Arabidopsis thaliana: one gene and its partner. The protein of the gene in region 1 purifies or fractionates together with the protein of each later gene. This does not show direct contact. Each region holds a gene or a part of one and is shown in the gene's direction. Other genes may lie near its edges.

Region 1 (3,756 bases):
CTTGGTTATCTTCAATGACCACTTTGGTGATTGCCACTTGGTTGTAGCACAAGCATGTGCTGCCTCACTTAGATAATGTGATTAGGCCTAGTTTAGATTGTACCAAAAACTTTAATTAATGATGTATTAGACACTAAGGCAAATCTAGTAGACACTCAAGTAGATGAATTCTTCATTCTCTTAATTAAAAGACTAACATAGAATATAAAACAAAAAGACCAAACACATGTTGCTAAAAGATCAAATTAAAGAACATGATAAGCTTGACAAGACAATTGATGAAGGCTTGGTCGATTAAATTACACGTGTAACCAAATAAAAATAAACTACGATGCTGACAAATGTAACTAGTACATAACTCTATTGTATCCGTGTATTTTTTTGGGATTTTTTTTCAGAGTTTTTGGAAGCTACAAATGATCAAATACAAACTCTAGATGCTCTTACATCGGAGGTTAAGAGCGACTTTACAATGTCATCAACTACACCTTTAGTGTAGTGGAAGAAGTGGCCACTTCTCGGAACCTCATGATAGTGAACCCATGGAAGCTGATGAGCAAGGTAACGCTGCAGCTTCGCAGGTACTAACATGTCCTCATCTCCTTGCCACAAATGCACAGAGCCTTCCTTATTCAAAAACGGATTCTCGAGGTCTAAAGGACCAAATTCCCAGTTCCCAAAACCAACGATCATGTCACGGTTAATACTCTCATGTATTCCTTGCTGCCTTACCTCTGCCCAATGTGGTTTCCTCGAAGAACCAAGCTTCGAAATGATATCTTTATCCGGCTGTGCCAAGAGACTGTGATCTCGGTTTGCAATACTCGAACCAGGGAACCATTTTTGTGTGTTCCACCAATAGATAAGCCAAGGAGTATAGTGAGCAACACGAACTGCCAATTGATCTCTCTTTTGTTGAAAGTTAAAACCTTCAGTGGAAACGTTCAAAGGTAAGTTCTTCCAATAATAGTTAACCACTGGAGCAACTAGTGTTACTCCGGCTAACCTATGAGGAATGTATTTAAGACATCCCCATGCTGCTTGTCCTCCCATCGAGTACCCGAGCACATAAAATTTCGATCCTAGACTCAACTGATCAGCTAGCTCTTCAATATCCGAAACCAAGCTTCGCGGTGTACGACTTGGATGCGGATCACTCTCACAATAGCCCGGTCTGTCGAATGAAACCATATATACACCTAGTTCCTCTACTAAATCCTATAAAATGTATTGACACACTGTTAGAGGTCCCAATAAAAAACCGAAAACGTCACTCTCAAATAACTTTCTCACTAAACTTCTCTATACTACAAGGATTTTTAACAACACTACTTGCTACAAATTAACATGCCACTAACTAAATAAATGATTAAAACATAGTGATCAAAGTATTATTACATAACAACTATCTATCAAATCAACGATAGAAGCATATAGACATGCATAATCTTGATTGTGTAAAACTTACCGGAGAAAGCAGAGTGGCGAAAACGGCATCGTGTCTACAACAATCGGATCCATGGATGAAGACGATTTTGCGGTTAGCTTTCTCTCTTGGAAGTCCATGCTCTTTGTAAGCCAAATACCTCCCATCTTGAAGCTTTATCCGCGGCGCTGTGATCGGTGGACCACCGGAGGAGCCACATAGCTTCGGCGGAGGTGGTTTCAACTTGGACTGATAAGTAAACGCCACGATTATCCCAACAATGACAATCACAACAGAAGGAAAAAGAAATTTTTTTCGAGGCCATGGCTTTAATGAGCTGTTCCTTGATGAATCTCTCGTCATTTAAAAGAATGGGAAGTTGATCGGAGAGGCACGGAGGTCAACGGCGACGATTCTTGAAAAGAGAGCCAACTGTTCAAGAACTACAACATAGAGATCGTTTTTTTGTTGTTGTTTTGAGATAAAAATAGAGAAGCCCATTTTTATATGTTATTCATTATAGTAATGGCCCAAGATGCTTAATATACTAATGCCCCAATAGTGTTAAGGCCCATAAGCCCATATTAGGGCTTCTTCTTCGTTTTTCTCCCTCGAGTAGCAGCAGCAGCCTTTGGATATTCGGCGGAATCGAAAATGGTCAAGGGACGCCAAGGAGAACGAGTCAGGTCTTTCTTCTTCTATTTCTCTTTTCGTTCTTCTTCAAGTTTGATCTATATCACCAAGATGGTTTTCTATCGGTGTATCATTTGAGATTTGCTCTGTTTTCCTCACTTCTGAAACTGTTTTGCTACTATTGTTATTGTCTAGATTTGAGCTGATTCTTCATGGTTTAGTAATCTTGTAATCATCGATAATGCGAAAGTCTGATTCTTTTTATGTTATCTAATTTTGCAGACTCTACGTGAGGGGAACCATCCTCGGATACAAAAGGTGACCCATTTCTTTCATCGCTTTCGTTTTCCATTTTACACTGCTTATAGCTTATGATTGGACGCCAATAAGATTCCATGTAATGAACGTTGATTGGTATTTATGTAAGCCAATTTGACAGAAACGAGTCCTATAACCAAGCTTCTCGTCCACTTATGATCAGATTATGTGTCTGATGCTTTCACTAAATGGGAACATTTTGACTCTTGATTAGTTAGTTGTCTACATTTCTTAGGACACTTATCTGGCATTTTATTTTTGAGCTGCTTTGTATTTCTATTAATCAACACTGTTGTTAACTGAGTTCTGCTTTAATAACCTTGTCATGCTGAAAACCGAGACCTTACTGTTTGATACTTCCTCTGGTCTGACATTTACTATGGTGTGCAGGTCGAAGTCCAACCAGTATCCAAACACGTCCCTCGTCCAGATCGAAGGAGTTAACACTCAGGAGGAGGTAAACTGGTACAAGGGAAAGAGGATGGCTTACATCTACAAGGCTAAGACAAAGAAGAACGGTAGCCACTACCGCTGTATCTGGGGAAAGGTTACCAGGCCTCACGGTAACAGCGGTGTTGTCCGTGCCAAATTCACATCCAACCTTCCTCCCAAGTCCATGGTACTTAAACAGATTCTATAATCATCTTCTCTGTTTAGAAGTGAAATCTTTTGCTTGGGTTTTTAACAAGATATTATTCCTTATGTTCTTGCAGGGAAGCAGAGTGAGAGTCTTCATGTATCCGAGTAACATATGAAGCAATGCAAAAATGGCTTAAACTTATAATTTAGCCGCCTTGGTTTTGTTCACTAGTTTGTTATTTTGTATTTTGATATTGAAAGCATTTCCTTTCTTTGTTTGAAGTGTTTGGAGATTCTCTAAATTGACTTTGATCATGGATCCGGTTTTTCATCCCAAATTAGACTCCCTTTTCCCCTTTTATAACGAATTAAAACAGACGAATGGTAACATATTTTCTCAAATCACTATTACAACTTTATAATTAGTTCTTAGAAACACTTAAATTCTCAGAATCATCCATGGCATATGTTAATTGTTGAAGTCTGAAAATCGAAAATCACTCAAAATAATCAAAAAACAAGAGCTGATTGAAGTTGTAAACTGAAACATTTGAAACTCGATTTGTGATATCGGCCCTTAGGCCCATTAGACCTTTATTGGGCTTACCTAGGCTCAACTTTAGAATTTTCAATCAGAATTTTGTTCTCATGTAAACAAAAAAGTACCAACAAACCTAAGATTCGTTGAGAAGAGAGACCAGACAAGAACTCTGTGTCGACTGCCGTACTCTCGGAGTCGGAGCTTCGGTCCCGTTAAGACAGTAACAGAGAAAAACCCTAAACCCTCTTTTCACTTTGTT
Region 2 (3,669 bases), about 23 Mb from region 1:
AACGATGCTTTTGCTCTGGATCTGGTTTTGATTGTCCAACTAACTTGAATTCTTAAAATTTGTTAACATTCAGTGACTCATAAATCATTAATTTTGCTCGGATTCAATGATTTATACGCAAGTTCGAATTTTGATCCAGTGTTTTTAAGGGCACAGTCTTGACTTCTTCACTTGATTTTGTTTGCATACTATTTGTGTATTAATGACTCTTAGACATTCTCTAATTGCTGAAATGTTGATTTGGTATCAATGCAGACTGACTTAGCTAACATTCAGAAGAAGAAAGATGAGGAAAAGGTGAGTTCCCACTTTGATGCTCTGACTTGTTTTCTCTTTTTGTTCATATGAAGTTTTGTGATTGGAAAAATGCATCTAGTTAAACTTATATGTTTGGGCTCCTCTTTCAATGGAAAGCTATAAAATACGAATCAAAGATTGTATCTTCACAAGAGAGCTTCTGTTTAGATACATAGGTTTGTAAAGGTTTTGTAAAGGTTGTGCATTAATATGTTCCACTTTGTCAGTTTGGTCTACTAATCAAGCTGACTCTAATTATGACTTTATAGCTGGTGACTACAACTAGATGGGTCATTTCTATTAATTATTTGTTAGTTTAGGGGTATTCATTACAGATTCTTTTGAGATGATATGGACTAGTTTCTTCTTACTTTGATGAAATAGTGACCATTTGCCCATGTTAGGATGTTTAGTCTACTTTTTTTCCACCCAATTGTGTGAAAGACTCATTAGCCTTTCTTTCGCATGAGAAGTACAGTGATCATTTGTTACCGAAAGCCTGACCTGTTTTGTTTTGAATGAAAATGATAAAACAGGCCCTTAAAGAGCTTAGAGCCAAGGCATCGCAGAAGGGATCCTTTGGAGGTTCTGGACTTAAGAAGAGTGGCAAGAAATGATCCGTTTTATCCATGAAGTGTGTTTTAAAATGCAAATTTATCAAGTGAAAAAAACAGATAATCCTGTGTTGATGTAACTTTTTATCATAATTCGAGAAGAGTAACTTCGCTTCTCCATACATATGTTTGCTTTCTCCATTTTTTCATGAAAAAGAAAAGTGGTATCTACCCTAAAATCATTTTGTCAAGAATCGAGTAGTAGGGTGTCACATCTCTATCTTCAGATATAGTATTATAAACTGTAAGTTGTCATAACTTGAAGTGGAAAATATGTTGCATTGATAGTAGTTGAGAATAGGAGCGTAACTTGACTCTACAAGATGAGGTAGAAACTGAGGGTGGTGACAGGTGATTTTACCAAAGCGGTGTGTGTAATGGTTAACACTGTTCTTAAGAAGTGCATACTCTATAGATGAAAGAACTACAGATAGCCCGTGAAAGCAAAGCTGATCCAGAGGAACTTTAAAGCCTGAAGGAGCCTGCCTTTCTCCTTGAACCGTTGATCTTAGCAGAGGTACGAGGATCAGAGAACTCGTAATACATGTCTGTGAAGAAATTGTCAACAATGTCAAGATACACAGGACTTCTGATGCTTGAATAGCATCGAAGCGCTTCCCTTACATCCAATGCGTGATCCACGTCTCTCAGATCCACCATATTGAGATCTTTCATCTTTTGCGCCAACGCGTCACCTCTTTTCTTTGCATCCTCGAATGGCTCAGCGACTTTCTTCGGTTTCTTTTTATGTTGGTTGTTGAGACTCTTCTGGTGTGTTGTATCTGCCACAGCCGTGTCACAACAGATAACGGTGTAGCTTTCTTTGGTTTGGGTTTGGGAATCTTCTGGACAGCGGCGGCTGCAGGAGTAAGGGCTCAAGAGAGGAGTGTCGTTAGGTAAGTTTTTGTAATCACTAGAGCAGATAGTGGACTTGATGCTCCCAAGAGTCTTCTTTAAGAAACGACCAACTCTCTGAATTGATTTTGATGTAGGTTTCATCATCTTTCTTGCTGCTCATTTTTTTGAGAAGATAACCATATTTATGTCACTAGGGATCTCAAAAGGAAACCTAACATTGATTTAGTGGCATGTAGTAGTTGAAGAAGCAAGCTGATAGTGTCAGACTTTAAGAAGGTGTCATCTTGTTGATTGTGTTGTCCACTTTTATAGGTAAGCAATCGTCATCACATTGATAAGCAGTGTTCAAAATTGGTCCCCTACTTATCATTGCCACCACCACTCACTACTCATATTATATATACTGTATGCCAGTTGACTCGAGGTAATATCAGAACCAGGCCCATGAAGCCCATTAAGAAGCCCATATTTTTGGCGGTAACCAATGAAGATCCATTTTGGGTAGGAAAAACCCTAAAGGACGCTACACAGTCGTCTTCTCGGAGCCGCAAAGATTTCTGTAGAGCAAACTTTGATCATCCCCTGCATCTGCGGCAATGGTAATCTATTGGCATTTTTTTTCCATGTAAGCTCATGTGTGACTTATGTGTAACCGGTGCTTTGGAAATGACAGGGTAAAGGAACAGGGAGCTTTGGTAAGAGGAGGAACAAGTCACACACGCTCTGTGTGAGATGTGGTCGCCGGAGCTTTCACATCCAGAAGAGTCGTTGCTCGGCATGTGCTTATCCAGCTGCCAGAAAGAGGACATGTATGTACTCTCTCTCTATTTCTGTCTCTGTCTTGGAATTTTGGGTCTGATCATGGAGAATTGGAGATATATGAAAGAGTCCTGGAATTTATGATTTTGTGTGCAGATAACTGGAGTGTGAAGGCAATAAGAAGAAAGACAACAGGAACTGGTAGGATGAGGTATCTCCGTAATGTCCCTCGAAGGTTCAAGACTTGCTTTAGAGAAGGTAAAGCTACATTGCACCCTTTGCTTCACTTAAATATTTGATATAATCTAAGACTTGCTCAATCTGATCGATGGAATTCTGTGAATCAGGTACGCAAGCCACCCCAAGAAACAAAGCTGCAGCTTCGTCTTCCTAGGCATTGTTCAGTTTGCGTTTTGCCATCTCTTTCTTGCTATGTAGCTTTTTTTTTTAATTCGTTTGTTTATCTTTTTTGCTCTTGTACTTCCTTTACTGTGCAATCCTATTTCTGATAGTGTGATCACTCATCAATGAAATGCATCCGTGCTATTACTGTTTAAAGAATTCTAGCAAAACTCCACGTAATATGGAAGATGATTACAATGAAAATCCAAGTATCAGTTCGGTGGTGTATATTGACCAAAGAGGTGTTTTTCGTAGTGCAATTTTTTGAAAGCTTGCTCCATTTCCGGAAACGCTGATAGTAGCAACAACTCCAAAATGTCAAACGCCAATTGCTTCAAACACACTGATGACTGAAACAAGAATAATTTTAACAATGAAATCATCAAATGCATGTAAGCATCGCACAAACCTGAAATCAAGTGGAATGTTTACCTGAAGGAAAAAGTAAAGATCTTCTGCACATTGTTCATACTCCTTTTGTCCTATAAGACTCACTATAGTAGCTGGGGCTTTTTCTGTGAGTTGAGGGTTTATTTCAAACATTTATGTTAGTTCAATTAAGCTTCGCAATCATTGATGCAAAAAAAAAAAATCAGATAACAGGACGCTCATTACCGATCATCAGCTCATGAACAAACTTTGCTCGTCTCTCTGCTTCTTGTTTCTGCTCCTCTTCAGAAATGCTGGATTGTTGCTGCCTTTTTGGATGCTTTGTCATGAATACACCATCCGGCCATAG

The links. Proteins that work in one complex are often made in the same cells at the same time.
Region 2: the proteins of AT1G74270 (region 1) and AT1G15250 fractionate together in Arabidopsis thaliana (co-fractionation; one large-scale study listed by BioGRID). This does not show direct contact.

Annotation. Positions count from the first base shown.
Region 1 is NC_003070.9:27,927,791-27,931,546, reverse strand, and holds AT1G74270 (Ribosomal protein L35Ae family protein), read left to right. Parts: upstream 1-2,009; 5' UTR 2,010-2,080; coding exon 2,081-2,112; intron 2,113-2,341; coding exon 2,342-2,377; intron 2,378-2,767; coding exon 2,768-2,996; intron 2,997-3,090; coding exon 3,091-3,132; 3' UTR 3,133-3,376; downstream 3,377-3,756. Other genes in the region: AT1G74280 (alpha/beta-Hydrolases superfamily protein), read right to left, coding at 421-1,218, 1,469-1,789.
Region 2 is NC_003070.9:5,248,078-5,251,746, reverse strand, and holds AT1G15250 (Zinc-binding ribosomal protein family protein), read left to right. Parts: upstream 1-2,070; 5' UTR 2,071-2,081; intron 2,082-2,183; 5' UTR 2,184-2,365; coding exon 2,366-2,368; intron 2,369-2,442; coding exon 2,443-2,578; intron 2,579-2,684; coding exon 2,685-2,786; intron 2,787-2,875; coding exon 2,876-2,922; 3' UTR 2,923-3,083; downstream 3,084-3,669. Other genes in the region: AT1G15270 (Translation machinery associated TMA7), read left to right, coding at 256-297, 834-914; AT1G15260 (LOW protein: ATP-dependent RNA helicase-like protein), read right to left, coding at 1,377-1,913; AT1G15240 (phox (PX) domain-containing protein), read right to left, coding at 3,143-3,280, 3,363-3,445, 3,546-3,669. UniProt on the Arabidopsis thaliana protein: Binds to the 23S rRNA.